2 linked regions of the Ovis aries genome follow. The protein of the gene in region 1 interacts with the protein of each later gene in a biochemical or structural test. Links are inferred from orthologs where the notes say so. Each region holds a gene or a part of one and is shown on either strand. Other genes may lie near its edges.

The links.
Region 2: the proteins of AREG (region 1) and S100A4 form a complex in vitro, tested with the Homo sapiens proteins (2 studies listed by IntAct, with this or other methods). The link is inferred for Ovis aries from reciprocal best matches to the Homo sapiens genes AREG and S100A4.

Annotation. Positions count from the first base shown.
Region 1 is NC_056059.1:90,126,642-90,134,698, reverse strand, and holds the start of AREG (amphiregulin), read right to left. Parts: upstream 4,574-8,057; 5' UTR 4,571-4,573; coding exon 4,288-4,570; intron 3,014-4,287; coding exon 2,783-3,013; intron 1,810-2,782; coding exon 1,759-1,809; intron 133-1,758; coding exon 1-132.
Region 2 is NC_056054.1:104,000,140-104,008,000, forward strand, and holds S100A4 (protein S100-A4), read right to left. Parts: upstream 4,582-7,861; 5' UTR 4,424-4,581; intron 3,586-4,423; 5' UTR 3,571-3,585; coding exon 3,430-3,570; intron 2,420-3,429; coding exon 2,255-2,419; 3' UTR 2,119-2,254; downstream 1-2,118. Other genes in the region: S100A3 (protein S100-A3), read right to left, coding at 6,201-6,365, 6,817-6,951. UniProt on the Homo sapiens protein: Calcium-binding protein that plays a role in various cellular processes including motility, angiogenesis, cell differentiation, apoptosis, and autophagy.

The DNA.
Region 1 (8,057 bases):
TATCACACAGATTTTTCCTCTTTCTGTTTCTTCTATTTTTTCCATTTTTGCCTCCCTTTTTCTTTCTTTTGGGTTTATCTGAAGTCTTTTCACTTTCCGTTTTGTTTTTCTTAGGCTTAACTACCTGTTCAACTAAAAAAATAAAACAGAAAAGAAAAGATTTATTGACAAATAAATCTTTATTTCTCTCTTTATGTGGAACACCATTTTGAAGACATGAGAGAAAAATGTCCTAGCAGTGAAAGTTCACAGGGTAACAGCCTTATCAGTCACATTTTTTAACACAACTCATATACCTAATTGAACAAAGACAATATCTGTACTATGTGGCACTTAGAATTTGAACACATTTGTTATTTTATTAGCTTAAAAACATATTTTGATTTATTTGTATCAGCATTATTATTACTGATAACAGGAATAATAGGAGTTACTTGTCTAAGAAAATCCATGAAATATTTTAAACATTTGTTTTTACTTTAATACATACCAGGCTCTTGGTAACAAGCATTAATTTAATTAAACCCAAATCACACTTGAATGTATTATTACTATCTACATGATACAGATGAGAAAAAGTAGAGTCGAGTAAAGACAAGTAAATTGCACTAAGACAGTAGCTAGAAAATGGCAGTGCTGGGATGTTAAAACCTATTAATACCCAATTTTATTATGTTTTCTCTGGGAAAAGCTCAGTTCCATTAGTTAAAGTGGGGTTTGAGTACATTTGGTGATTTTCTTTACTCATATCAGTCTTGTGCTATCATAGTTGGGAATTGGTGTGTATTACCTGAGGTGGAGAAAACAGAATTATACATTAGAGTTAACTTTCTTCAACTCCCAGATTACAACAGATTATAATTAACTGATACTTTCTGGGGGCTAATTTCTGTGACCAATCTATTTGAAAAACAGAAGTCCATAAATATTTGTACTTGACGCTTCATGGGTTCATCCTAACTCTTCAGATTCACAGAAACCTTTGTTCAGTGTTATAGCTATGCAGGGTATAATTTACCCACACATTAAATATAGGAAGGAGGAGTTTCTATGTTAGAGCTGTGCATTTTGTTTTACTAATCTCTGCAAAAGTTTATCTGAGCAAGTATTTAGTGAGCCCAGAGAAAAGAGTCATAAAGTCATAATAAAGTTAGTCATAATGGTTCTGCAGTGCCCGGTAAATAGAGAACTCTAGAAACATAAGGAAGGGTAGCAAAGCTGGAGCCCTGTGGTTAAGGTAATAAACAATAAAGTACTTTGAGTGTTTTAGCAGTCATTATATCAACATTAACAATAGTCAAATTAGGAGCAATGTTTAATAGGTGGCTATGCAATTTTTGTGTTGAAACTTCCCTCTGATGATAAGAAAAGTACCCCAAATTAGAACAGTTCCTCTAACAGAAACATTTTAAATCGATATTACAGCACTTTACAGATACATTACAAATTTTAAACAGAGATAGTCACTATGCTGAAGTATTCCAATAGACATTATCTTCATGGATCAATTTTCACTGTATTTTACAGTGCATTGTAATTTTGGCCCCTAACCATTTTCATTCATCATCATCAATTCATTTGGCCTTATGAAATGCTAACTTGAAACATCTTTAAGAGCAAAATTTCTAAATGGTCTCATCTCATTCCCCTCCCAAAATAAGAATTATAGATGGACCCCTTTCCCACCTTATGTAAAAGCACATAAAGGAGGTGTGGAGCAAGGGAGGAAAATGGAGTGTTTGATAAAACTCTTCCCACCTGTCATTGTCTTCATGTTATCACTTGCTATTCCTTCACCAGTTCTGGGAGCTAGACAGAGAGGAGGAGTCAGGGAAACTAAGATCAGGAAAGAAGACGCTTTAAACCTTGCCTTCATAATGGATGCTCCTAGGATATTTAGATCTGATTTACTGATGATCTCGTCTGCCCTCAAACTCCAAAGTAATATGAGAGTAATGAACAACAGTGACCTCTTTCTCTGGTACCCTCATTTTAAGTAAATGCTCTTTTTGAAAAATCAGTTAACAGCAGAAGAGAAGAAATTATAGGTCACTATTATTTAACTGACAAATGAGATTTGGGGTTAAACAGAGATTTTAGTGACATAAAATCCATGCATATTTGTTCTTTAATATTTCCAGAAAGTGACATTACTATTATTATTACCAGTGTCGCAGCACAATACACAGTGGCTAAGATCCAATCATTCTTTTCCCATTACATCTTTCTGTTCCCTTACCTGAGTCTCCAGCACTGCAGGCAAATTCTTTACCAACTGAGCTATGAGGGAAGCCCTATTTGTGTTCAACTGCAGTAATTTAGAGAAAAATGGTGGTGGGGAGTGGCTATAAAAGCTGAGATATAAAGTATATGGGATTGGTTGATGTCTATATTGATTTCTCACATGGGGGAGTGGTCATCTGGCAGAGTATCTGAAATCCAACAGATTGGAGTTTCTCATTCTGGCTGTGGAACTTTGGGCAAAATGCTTAACCTTCTTAAGCTTCAGTTATCACAGCTGTAAAATGTAACAATTCCTACCTCATAAAGTTGTGAAGATTAGACTTCCCAGATATGAAACGCTTGTTAGAGCTCCATACACAAAGGTTGTGCCCACTAAAAGCTCTTTCTATCTCAGTTTCCAGCTTAACTAGTGGGATGCACAACAGTCACACACAAGAAAGCCACTGGAAGATCTTGGAGAGGCTTTTCTTTTGAAGCAGCTTTGCTCATACAAACCACATATCTTATAGGCTATACTGTCACCTTCTCCTCTACTCACCTCTGACTGAATCATCTACAATATAGCCAGATATCTGTGGTTCATTATCATACTCTTCTGCATAGTCATAGTCGAACGCCGAGGACAGTTCGCCACCAGGAGGCGTTTCACTTGCAGAGGAAATCTCACTTCTTAAGGTCACCTCAAATCTGTCAGCACTGTGGTCCCCAGAAAATGGTTCTCCTTTTCCAGAGTAGGTGTCATTGACATCTAATCCAGCAGTATAATGGGCTATGAGAGTGAGAATAAGAGGAGAAAAGAAAAAGTAAAGCGGGGTGCCTTTTCTCTCCAGTCAATTCTGTTCGGAAGGAATGTTTATCTTCAAAGCAGTGACTGCACATGTGTTATTGTTTGTGATTGAGTCACTTATGAAAGCTCCTTCATACTCTGCCAACAAGCAAACTCAACTGTCCCAATTACAGAGCTTCTTTCATTTAGGTTTTCTTTTCCACAGATAGTCTACATTAATTTCCACATAAAAAACCTGCCAAATAGGCAAATTAATGTAATATAATTATTTGAGAGGTAACAATATGACTATAACTTCATATACATATATACAATAGAATGTTACCTGTTCCATTTTAATAAACAGATTCTAGAGATAAATCCAATATCTTTTTAACACATGCTTACCTTTTTAAAAAGAGTATGCATATCAAATGTGAAAAGTAATATGAATAGTAGCTGGTAATAAATTTTCTTACTGTCATTGTCTCTTATTATTGCCCTCACATAGAGAAGAAACTAGGGACTAAGTAAGACTTGGGGGCCAGTTTCAAGCCCCTGCTTTATCGTTTGTTGCTTAGCGGCTAAATCGTGTAGGACTATTTTGCGACCCCATGGACTGTAGCAAGCCAGCCTCCTCTGTTCAAGGAATTTTCCAGGCAACAATCCTGGAGTGAATTATCATTTCCTTCTCCAGGGGATCTTCCCAACCTAGGGCTTGAACCCGCGTCTCCTGCTTGGCAGGCGGATTTTTTTAGGTCTCAAAACAGTGTTAGAGAGGTGCTTTTAAGTAGAACTTCTCCCTGGGACGATGCCAGGCCCTCTAGAATGGTAAAAACAAAATCACTTGACAGAGGAGACGGAGAATCTAGGTAGGAGGTAGAACTCCTTGGTCTGGGACTTAACTACTCTCCTCCAAGATCTCTGGAAATCACTTTACCGCTCTGGACCTCTGTTTCTTTATCTGTAAAAGAAAGGGTCTGGATCACAGGATCTCTAAGCTCTCCTTCCCTCTGGACTAAAGTGAGAGTACAAAGATTCTCAGGCACCCTCCTGCTGGCAGACACCCGGCCTCTTTTCTCTACCTCCATAGGAGGGGCCGGTATGTCGATTACTTTCCACCGGACAGAGTCGGGGGACACCCAGAGGCGGCTTTTCTTTTTTTTTTTTTCTTTTTTTTTTTTTTTTTTTTGAGAAGCAGCAGCAAAATCCAAGAGGAGACCTGTTTGCCCTCGGTGGGAGAAGCTGCGGGCAGCTCAGAGCCGGGATGTCCTCACCTGAGCCGAAGATGAGGAGCGACAGCACCACGGGCGCCGGCGGCAGCAGCGGGGCTCTCATTGGTCCCTCGGAGCGGCGGCGTCGCGGTCTCTGGGGCAACTCGGCCGGGAGCTGCGGGCGGGAAGAGGCGGTGGTGGCCGAGAGCTGGGACGCGGGGAGCCGCGTGGCCGAGCTCGCAGGCCCGGCCAGCCTGGGGCGCTGGAGGCAGCTCCTGGAGCTCGTCTCGGGATGTCTGGGCTCAGGTTCCCTGGGCTCAGGCTCGGGCGCCAGGTGTGCGAACATTCCGGAGGTGCTGCGCGCACCTGCCGCTTTATATGCCGGTCATCTCCCGTGACGTCACGCCGCCGCGGAGGGTGGAGGCGGGCGGCCTCCCGGGAAGAAGTTACTACCCGAAAACCACACACGGATGCCAGGCGCCCCACCTCCCCGGAGCGCAGAGAGCCGCTGGAAGGAAGTGAAAATTAAACCTCTCGCTGCAAGCTGAAAAATCAAAAATAAATTACCAGATCCATACAAGGGCCGGGAGTGGAGTTTCGGAGCTAGGAGCTGACAGTCAAAAGTCCCGAACTTTCAACCCATCTGAAAATCCTCGGAATATACTTTGGTTGATCTTAGTGTTACCACAGACAGGAATTAACTAGAAAAAAAATCCATTTTAAAATGTTAAAGGAACTTAAGATCAGGAGTGACTTAACAATGGCCCGATGTCTTTAACAATAACGGTCATAATATGACTACAGAGCCCACCTCCTAATGAGAAGCTGCTTTATTTACCTTATCTCACCCGGGGGCCCTTCCCCACCCACTACGGTGAAGTGGTCAGAATTTCCAACCACCTCCCGTCCAATGTCTTTTTGTGGCCCAGGGACCCGTCCTTGTCAAAGTTATTTATTGATTTTTTTTTTTTTTTTGGCAGAACAATACACTAAAAATATTACCAATACCACCTCACTCAAAACCTAGGGAGGTCTAAGTATCATTTCCCCTGTTTTACAAGAGGGACAAATGTCAGCTTTACAAGGCAGGGAGGACTTCACACAGCTGGTCATGGCAGGAGCCAGATAGATTCATCTTCAACCTCATCTCACTCTTAAACTCTCTTCCCACTCTGATAAAAGGATTTAGACTAAACTTCTCTTTGAAAAGAGAATTTCTAGGTTAAATAATATTTAACCTAAAGGAATAATCTCTGCTGATAGCATATTGGCATTGGATGAAGAGTGGTGACCAAAATTTTGCTTCTGGAATCCCAAGACAGAATGGGCCAGCTTTGAGAGTCCATTTAGAACCTAGTAGAGCATTTTAATCATGACAAGTAGATAAAGTGCAGAGAGAGGGAGAGAGTTGATTAATTTGACTAACTTCGATGTGGAGACAACTCCATAACTTGATTTTTCATGACTTGAAGAAGAGAAAAAAGCATTGTTCTAAGTATTTCTTTGTCCTGAAGGTATCTGTCTCTTCCGTGACTGTTCCAGTAAAACAGTTCTTTTTAGGAATGTGGGTCACAGTGGCATGTGTCCTAATTCTGGGAAACTTTTTTTAAAGTTGCGTGTTTTTTAATGACATGTCATAATAATGGAGGCTAAATAGTACCTTACATTTAGTAGGATAAAATAAACAGTCATGACTCATGTCTTTGCTCCTATTGGACGTTTGTTGAGACAATATTTTGTATATTTCACCTGTTTTCCATTTTATGCAGGGAGATAATTAAATGATGACCAGTTGCCAGTAGCTCAAGGAGGTGAAAGTCAGATACAGAGTAAAGTAGGTCTGTTATATCAGATAAGAAGGATTCAGTGCCATGAAAAACCAGGATGCAGTTTAGTTTTGTTCTGTGTATCATGGAAAGCATTGTGGAAAGATGGAGAGGTCACTCAATGGTCTTCCCCGAAGCAAGTGTAAATGAAAAGAATACCTGAAGACAAGGTGTGACCGAGAGTGGAAAATCAGATGAGAAAGATGACCCTGCCCATTCCAGGGTGAAGCAGGGGCCTGCATGGTCATCTCTTTTGGTGGATGAGGTGACTGTGATTCAGACAGACTCACATTCTTACCAGCAGATTTCAAAAGATGGTGGAGATTTTGTTTAGTGTGCAGATTGTTGCCTAGGCTGGTATATCTTTCTGCTGTCATAGGTTTTGATTCTGTTCTCATCCTTCTTTTCCTTCTTCCTCTTTCTTCTTATTGAAAGTGAAAGTGGAAGTAGCTCAGTCACGTCTGACTCTTTGTGACCCCATGGACTCTACAGTCCATGGAATTCTCCAGGCCAGAACGCTGGAGTGGGTAGCCTTTCCCTTCTCCAGGGGATCTTCCCAACCCAGGGATCTTCCCAACCCAGGGATCAAACTCAGGTCTCCTGCATTGCAGGCGGATTCTTTACCAGCTGAGCCACCAGGGAAGCCCTTCTTCTTATTGAGGTGAAGGCAAGTTGTGCACACCTATCATTGAAAGTGTTTCACATTTAAGTGAAAGTGGGCTCTTTACATTGGAAGTTGTTTTGTCTTTTCTCCAGTTGGAAATTTAGAGGGTGATAATTTACATTGGTGTGGAACATAACATAGCATCATAGGGACTGAGTGCTTAGTATGAACTTGAGATTCAAACCAATTGAGTTTTCATATACAAATTCCACCATATAGAAAATTACTTAATATCTGAAAGACTCTGGATTCCTCATCTGAAAATAAGAATAAAGATACCCACGTGCTGTAAAGCAGATTAGGTAAGATACATAAACAATAGCACAGATCCTACTTGTAGTGAGTACACAATAAATTAATAAACTTGACTGTTATTAAATATTATTAACCTTAACATTGTGATAGTTACATTATATTAATTACACTGAAGAACTAAGTGACCCTTAGAAATGTAGCTACTCACAGAGTAAGTGATCAGTAATCTCTTCCAATACTTTCAAGCAATGAACTTTGTACCCACTTCACATTAAGATTAAGCATTTTGGCATTATGGTGCATCACAGGATATCATGGGGTGTCATAATAGTTGCATCACAAAGGCAGCACCCCTAGATGACTCATGGCGTTCAGGAATACATGCATGAGAGGGAAATCAGCCCCATATAAGTGTGGGATTCTTTACATTCTGATTGCTAAGTTGAGACCAGGAGGAGCAATTTCAAAAAAATTCAAGTAGAGAAGCAACTCTTTTTATCCTAATAAATTCACAATTCCCTCATTGGTTTGATATTAAAGGCAGCCCCAAAGGCAAATGTTCCTAGCCAGTCACACACTCTCTTGGTGCCTAGTCTCTAGAGCCTGATGACATTTTATATGTAGGGTGGAAAGAAAGTCACTTTGACTCTGCTAAAAGATATTCTATAGAACCCACAGTAGACTTAGTTTCTGTTCATATAGCTGATCTTGAAATTTTACAAATAGCGTCAGGGTCTGAGTAAATATTACATCATGGTCATTTTTATGAGTCAACATATGAACTCTCAAACTAAGATTAAGAAATTCTCTAAAATATAAGCAACAGTTCACATATTATTAACAGATGCATTAGCTCCACTTAGATGTCTATAATTTTCTACTTTTCATCTTGGAAATATCCACTCTAAAGAGTATGTAATTTCTAGTTCTTTCAAAAAGAGACCTTAAATGAACTTGATTGTTTTAATTTGACAGAATGAAATAAAATTTCTTGTTCTTTGTATCCTTCACATGATGACTCTTCCAGAGCAAGGATCAGAAGATGGGACTGAAAGTCATAAATGATTTGATACAGTGGGAACTAAGTA
Region 2 (7,861 bases), on another chromosome or scaffold:
TTAGGCTGCTCTTTGTATTGGAGCCCTCCTACCCACCCCAAGAGCAGAACAGATGCAGCTCAAGATGGGAATCAGCGGGGAAAGATGTTTCCTGCCAAGGGCATGGTCAAGACCATTAGCGAGTATGTAGGCTAAGATTTTTAAAGGATTCTTCGACACCTCACTGGTCACCATGGGAAAGAATTGTCAGAGACTCCTGGGGAACTGGGAATCAGGGAGACCAAGGCAGAAATCGGGGACGGGTAGGGCTGGATGATGGGGTAGAGGCTGCAGACTCTGGGGAGCAGGTTCAAGGTGCAGTAATGACCAGGGTGTGAGTCAAGGAGATTTGCCTATATCCTAGGGGAGACTCAGACATTGTTCTGTGATTAGTTGCTCAGGCGTGTCTGACTCTTTGCAGCCCCATGGACTGTAGCCCGCCAGGCTCCTCTGTCCATTAGATTCTCCAGGCAAGAATACTGGAGTGGGTTGCCATGCCCTCCTCCAGGGATCTTCCCAAACCAGGGATTGAAACCAGGTCTCCCACGTTGCACATGGAATCTTTACCATCTGAGCCACCAGGGAAGCCCAAGAATACTGGAGTGGATAGGCTATCCCTTCTCCAGGGGATCTTCCCGACCCAGGAACCCTGTTGGGGTCTCCTGCATTGCAGGCAGATTTTTAATCAGCTGAGCTACCAGGGAAGCCCAGACATTGTTCTACCACCAACCAGTTCAAGAATGAGAAGAGAACAGAGTTAGGGGCTTAGCACCTGTGGCTGATGCCGCCAAACCCTAGCCTGCCTAGATGCTCCCGGCTGCCCCCAATTCCACTCCCACCCCCAGCTGCCAAAGGTAAAGAGGCAGCAGGGACTGGTCGCTAAGCAACAGGAGTTTCCAAAGTAGAGAGTGATGCAGAAGGGAGACTCAGGGGAGGGCACTCCGATGGAAGATGGGCAGACCGGGGCGAGGGATGAGGGGGAGAAGGAAGAAGTGGCAAACTTTTTCCTGGATCAAAATTCTATCCGAGTCTCTGTAGTCACACTCTGAAGGAACATCTGAGTCACCTACCCCACTCCTCTGCAACTTGAGAGAAAAACACAACGTGATGGAAGAAAAGGGGAAAGCTTGAAAGGTCACGGGAACCAGACCTTCTCTGCCTCTGGACCTGCCTTCTACTCACCTCTTCATTGAAGGTCCCTGTACCACCCAAGCAGGGCCTGGAAATCTAACCCCCACCCGTTGCAGGTTGGAGCTGCTGGTCTTTAACCTAAAGAGAAGCACTATCGTGCCTGATATTTTCAGGAGGGGTAGGGAGGAGGGGAGGGGAGTCTCAATTCACTTACCAGATCTCATGCCTAGAATTTTGTCTCCAAAACTCTGGTCGCCTCCCTCTATCTCCCTCCCTCCCAATCCAGTTACTGTCCTACACTCATCAGTTCCAAGGTCCTCTGTCCTCCTCTGATGGAGCATGACTGTTAACTGGTAACGAATCTCATCCCAGGGCCTCCAGGAGAGATAGGCTTAGAGAAGGATGATATGCTCACGCTGTGGCCATCAAGCTGCCCTTCCTCCATGTCCCCTTCCTGATCTGACCCTGGACAGGAAGGATTCATCTTCCCTGGGGTCTGAAGCCAGGCCACTGGAACAGGTGGCAGGCAGGGCCCGAGCTGTAAGTGTCAGGACTGAGCCTTCCTCCCCATCCCACTCTGGCCTCACTACTTCCTCCCCATGACTCAGCCCTTTCCCCACCACCCCAGGGCACCCACACTCCATTCCAGACCCCAACCAGGAGCAGATGTGACCTCCGAATCCATCCCAGCCTCAGTCAGAGATCCTGCCAGAGGCAAGGCTGGGGAGGTGGGATGGGTGAGAACACTGGCTAAGATCCTACAGCCAGGATGTTCCAAGCCTCTGGGGTCCCTTTCCCTGCCTTTGACCCCATCCAGAGTCGACTCTGTCCTTCACACACATGCACAGTCCCCCACATCCCTCTCCACTTTCACTAATCTGCTCTCCACTCTCCAGAAGACTACAGCTCAACTCCCAGCATCCTCCATTACCCCCTCCCCACTGGCCCCACCAGGCATCCCTCAGGCCCCACCCCACGCCCCCGGAGTTTCTCAGACCATCAGCCTCATAGCTTTCAAGAATCTTTATTGAACTTGTTCAGTATTGTGCTCACATCTGGAGGAGCCAGGGTGAGGTGATGCGCCCACCGCCAACAGGGAAGACCCCAGCTGGCAGCCCACCCCTGCCCCACACCTGAGGAGCCTTCATTTTTTCCGGGGCTGCTTATCAGGGAACCCTTCGAAGAACTCATTGCACATCATGGCGATGCAGGACAGGAAGACGCAGTACTCCTGGAAGTCCACCTCGTTGTCCTTGTTGCAGTCCAGGTTGCTCATCAGTTTCTGGAACGCAGCTTCATCCGTCCTTTTCTGCAGGAGGAAGAGGCTACAGGTGGAAACCGGAAGCGAGGTCGGGGTCGGGAAGTGGAGCAGAGCTAGCACCGGGTGAGGTCTGAGCTCCAGACGGGAGCTCAGGAGGACACAGGCACCCCTGCGGGGCCTGGCTCTGGACCTCCAGCCCTAGGGGCTAAGCTACCCCTCAGATGAAGTCTGAGGACCTGGGTACAACTGCGTAAAGGAGACCACAGCCTCTTCTGCCAAGGTCATTTTAAGAGTCCAATCATACAGTGGTCATGAAAGCAATAGATAAACAGCGTAAAGGTTGATACAGACGGCATCTGGGATTGCTCAAGAGAATTCTGTAAGTGTGTGAGTGTCTCCAGAGAACTGTATCTTCACGTCCACAAGCCAAACAGAAACTCAAAAATGGTTTATGGGGCGGGGGGATGGTGATAAAATAGAAATATGAGGTTAACAGATATACACTACTGTATATAAAAGAGATAAGCAACAAGGATTTACTGTATCACACAGGTAACTGTATTCAATATTGTGTAATACCTTATAATGGAAAAAAATCTGAAAAAATAGATATGTGTATATATAGCTAAATCACTTTGCTGTACACCTGAAATAAACACAGTGTAAATCAACGATATTTCAACTTAAAAAAAAAAGGCATATAACTTTCACAGAATCTTAAAAAAAAACAACAACAAGTTTCATTGCTGGAGTGATGGCAAGAGTTTGACCATCGCAGTTCATGATCTCAGCTTTAAACACGGACTTCCTTGGGAAGTTACTTAGCCTCTCTGAGCATCAGTTTCCCTCCAGGGAAGTTGTACAGAGCACCATACCCTATCTGCTCACTCTGCCCTCTTTCTGAGGGTGCTAGGAAGTGAGCTGTGGGTGCTCACCGTGCTTTGGCCCCAGGCAGCCAGGGTAAGCTCTCTGCCTGGAAATTGCCCGTGTCAGCAGCAGATGCCAGCTGTAGGTAATGCTTCACAGAGGACGGGTGCCTCCCAGGCAGTATCACTCACCCCTAAAAAGCTGGGCAGCTCCCGGGTCAGCAGCTCCTTTAGCTCAGACTTGTTGAGCTTGAACTTGTCACCCTCCTTGCCCGAGTACTTGTGGAAGGTGGACACCATCACATCGAGGGCCTTCTCCAGGGGGTACGCCATGGCAGCAATCAGGAGCTGGGGGCAGGGTCACAGAGACAACCTTATTTTCCCCACCCCACCCCCAGCTATGTATTTGTAAATGCCCCCCACTCCCATCCCTCAGGGAGCACATTGGTGACACTGCTCCCATCCAGAAAGGGGTTCAGCTCCTAGCGGGAGAGGGAAATGTATGCTTGGGGCAGTGAACCCCTGCAGGGCCTGGTGCTCAGGCTCCGGGTTCCAGGCAGCCAGCTCCCCAGGAGCACTTTCTCCACCCTCACTTGGTCCATTCACTCACTGGTACGCTCAGCCCACAGCAGCCCCACCCCAGCCCATTCTTTCCCCCTCCCAACACTGGGCTGGGTGAGGCTGCTGGAGGCTTGCCCAGGGGCCTAGCGGAAAAAACCAGTGCATAGGGAGGGGCAGGGTGAGGTGGCAGAGGCACGGATGCAGGGCAGGGACGGGGAGGCCACCCTCCCTTGGGCTGGGCTGCTGGTGCAGGACCGAGGCTCCTAGGACATAACCAGCCAGAGCCCACAGGCGCCTTCTGCCTTCACTGTGCTTTCCACATCCAAGTGTGCCACCCAGCAGACACCAGCCCACACACCCACCAGTGTGTACAGCAGCAACAACGCACGCAAGCCCCGGCATCACAGAACCCCTCAGACAGTTCCCACCAGCCACCTCACACTTGTTGTTCTTTCCTGAGTGCACACGCACTTGTGCACACGCACACCACCCACCCCAGAGCCTCCACATCGGAATCTCACATCTGGACCCGTTTAGTGCCTCTGGCCCCCATCCACCTCCCTTTCTCCTGCACCCAGCCTCGGCCTGACACCTCTTGCATGCCAGTCAGGCGACCACAACTCACCAAGAGAGAGGAAGTGCTGGGGAGAGATGATGGGGAGAGAGGAAGAATGGGGAGAACCCAGCAGTCTGACCTATTTATACCCGGGCCAGGCCCTGCCCATGGCAGGGGATGCGGGAGAACAGGACCCAGCCCTCCTATCGTGGGCTGATGTGGTGAACGCCACGGCCCCCCTCCACCCCCCTCCACCCGCCCAGCCTGGAAAGCTAGCTTCCTGCCCCAGCAGGCACAGACGGACATGGGAGAGCCCCAGGGGCACAGGCAGGGGCCTGGAGGGTGGGTGTGCACAGCTCAGCTCGAGTTTTAGGGAGCTGGGGGGAGGGACAGGTTGTGCCTGGGGCATGAGGGACAAGGAGGACGTGGTCCCACCAGGCAGCCAGCATAGAGGGGTGGAAGGTGGCAGGTGGGAAACTGCCCTGGGATGCGGCAGCCTGAGAAGACAGGGAGGGCCCCTCAGTTTCGGTGCTGGGGACGGCTCACGCTGCCCTGCACCCCTCCCCAAAGAGCTTCCTACCTTGTGGAGTGAGCCCCGGGACAGTGGGAGCTGGGGGTCTGGGAGGAGGAACTGGCTAACACCCAAAGGAGGCTTGGGGACCCCCCGCAGGCACATCCTTGCAGAAAGGCGCTGGATGCCAGAGTGATGGAATGGGGAAGGAGAGGCATGCCTTGGGGCTCAGGGATGGACTGAAGGGACCGAGAGCAGTGGGGTGGCAGAGGGCGTTGGGAGGGGGCTTAGATTTGGCAGAGGGCTTTGGGAGGGGGCTTAGATTTGGGCTGGGTGTCAGGGATGAAGAGGGCAGGGAGCGGAGGAAAGTTAGAGGTGATGCAGCACAAAATGAGGGGAGGCAAGGATCAAGGGAACCTCCCAGGGTAAGGTATGAGCTCAGGGGTTGAGGGAGGGTCAGGAGTCGGGGGTTAACCCCTCAGGTGGCTGTGGCTTCAAGGAGAGGGGTCTGCCTGAAGGTCTCTCTCCTTCCCCCTTCAGCAGCAGAGCACCCCTCCCCAAATGATCAGGGAGCAACACCCTAGTCCAACCCCTGATCAGATTAGTGCTGCACTCTGGGCTCTCATAGCCCAGGGGCCGGGGACAGACCCGCCCTCTCCCCTACGGCCCCACCCTCCTCCCAGAACATCTGGTCTGGGGGACTGAGTTTGACCCTCCTCTCACCTCCTTCACAGCCCAAGGGAGCTTCTTCTTCAGAGACCTGCCCGATACAGACAGACAGACAGACAGAGAGCCCCCCCCGCAAACCATCCTCCCATGGGCATCGTCCCCGAGTTGCCCCCATGCCTTCCTGCTGGACATTAGGACCATTTCATTTCCGCAGGGTCTGAAACTGCCCTCAACCTCCTGTCCTCCCGTGGAAAAGTCCAGGGAGGGGTGACGCCCCAGTGGGACTCTGTCCCCAGGCCGTCCTCTCAGAAGAACCAAACAGAGCCAAGTGATGCCAGTTCTTTATTAGGAACAAAAGGGGCCTTTGCCGCCACAATCTCTCTCCCAGACATGCTCTTCTGGGCCTTGACAGCCACCACCGCTGTGGCTGGTGGGCGGAGGCAGCGGCTGGCTGCTCTTCAAATCACTAGCTGTGATTCTGGGGATGGTCCCCTCGTGTCTCCTGGACCCATGGGTTGACACACCAGGGGCAAACCTGGGAGATTCTAGAAGCAGGAGCCTGGGGGGCTGGGAAGGGGAGAGCTGACGTGCCCAGGATGACCTTGGGGCAGAGTCAGAGCGGTCGAGAGGACCCCAACCTCTGCCCTCTGACAGCAGCCCTGCCCGTTACTGGGAGCAGGAGGGCTTCAGGGGGCTGTCCTTCAAGTACTCATGGCAGCAGATGCAGAGGCAGGCGAGCAAGCGCATGTACTCCACAAAATCCACCTGGCCATCCTTGTTGGTGTCCAGGGCACTGATGAACTGCTTGTAGTCACACTCCCGGAGCGTCGTCTGTGCGGGGTGGGGCGGGGAGGGATGAGGAGGCAGGCTGAGGAGGGCAGAGCAGTCTGGTGCTCACATCCAGCTTCCCTCCCCTCCACGCCTCCTCCCCGCCATCAGCAACCCACGCCCTCAGCCTCAGCCTTAGCCTCCCTGTTCTGAGGATTCACCGTGTCAGTTCCCCTCCCAAATCCTCTTTCTCAGCTCATTTACAGACCGCCAGCTGCGAGTCAGGCATTCTTCACAGAGCTCTCCCTCAGTCCTCCCAACCGCCCTTCCACAGTCTGGGAGGCGATTTTCCTCCACTTTACAGATGAAGAAACTGAGACTCCGGTTGTGCCCATTTCCCTCCCAGCACCCCTCCCCACAGTCTAACTTCCACCCCCTTGTGCCCCAGACTCGGAGCAGGGTCTTTTCCCAGAATTCAAGCAGTGCTTCCTGGGGGCTCGGCCCAGGTGCTCACCGGGGCCCAGGTAGGCAGCTCCTTCTCCAGGAGTTCCTTGAACTTCGCCTGGCAGAGCGAGTTTCCAGAGAACTGTGAATATTCCTGAAAGGTTTTCACGAGAGTAGCCAACGCCTGCTCCAGAAGACTGGCCATATTGACTGTCATGGAACAAAGGTGGGACTCATGGCAGAAGCCGAGTCAGCCCCTCTTCTCACCGCTGCACTTCAAGTGTCCCAAGGACTGAGCCCAGACATGATTAACCCCCTACACGCTTCCGACCCCACAAGCTCCCCCTCCTCTGAGCAGCCCTCCTTGACTACACCAGCTCCTCATTTATTTTCCAACCGCCCCCACCCTCTCCCACCACCACCGCTTGTTCCATTTCTGGACAGAGGCCTTAATTGCCCGACATCACTGCAAACCCCTCAGGGAGCATGGCCCACTCGTCACCTCACTCCCTCACAGTGGTGGTAGTTTAGTTGCTAAGTCACGTTGGACTCTTCAGTGGCCCCATGAACTGTGGCCAGTCAGGCTCCTCTGTCCATGGGATTCTCCAGGCAAGAATACTGGAGTAGTTTGCCACTTCCTTCTCCAGAGGATCTTCCCGATCCAGGGATCAAACCCTGGGTCTCCTGCCTTGCAGGGGTTCTTTACCATCTGAGCCACCAGGGAAGCCCCCACTATTGTCTCCATCTTTTATCATCTGACACCCAACAGTGGCTCGGTCCAGCTCTGCACCACCCTCTGAGACACAGCCCCCTGAGCCCAGAATCTTCCTCCCCTTCAGGACCCCAGAGCCAGGAACCTGCACGGAGAGCCTTGCTCTGGGCTCCCAGCCTCAGGTCCTTGGCAAAGCTGAGCACCCTTGGAGGGAGTCAGGTCTCAGAGGAACCCCTACAGTCTCACCACCACCCCCTCACCATCCCATCTGTCCTGAACTCAGGGAAGCTGCATCCAAAGATCTACTATGCCTCTGACTAGCTGTGCAGGTGAGAATGAGCCATTTAAGGTCTCAGGTGTCTTATCTGTGAAATGGGGTTAATCCCACCTCGCAGACCTAATC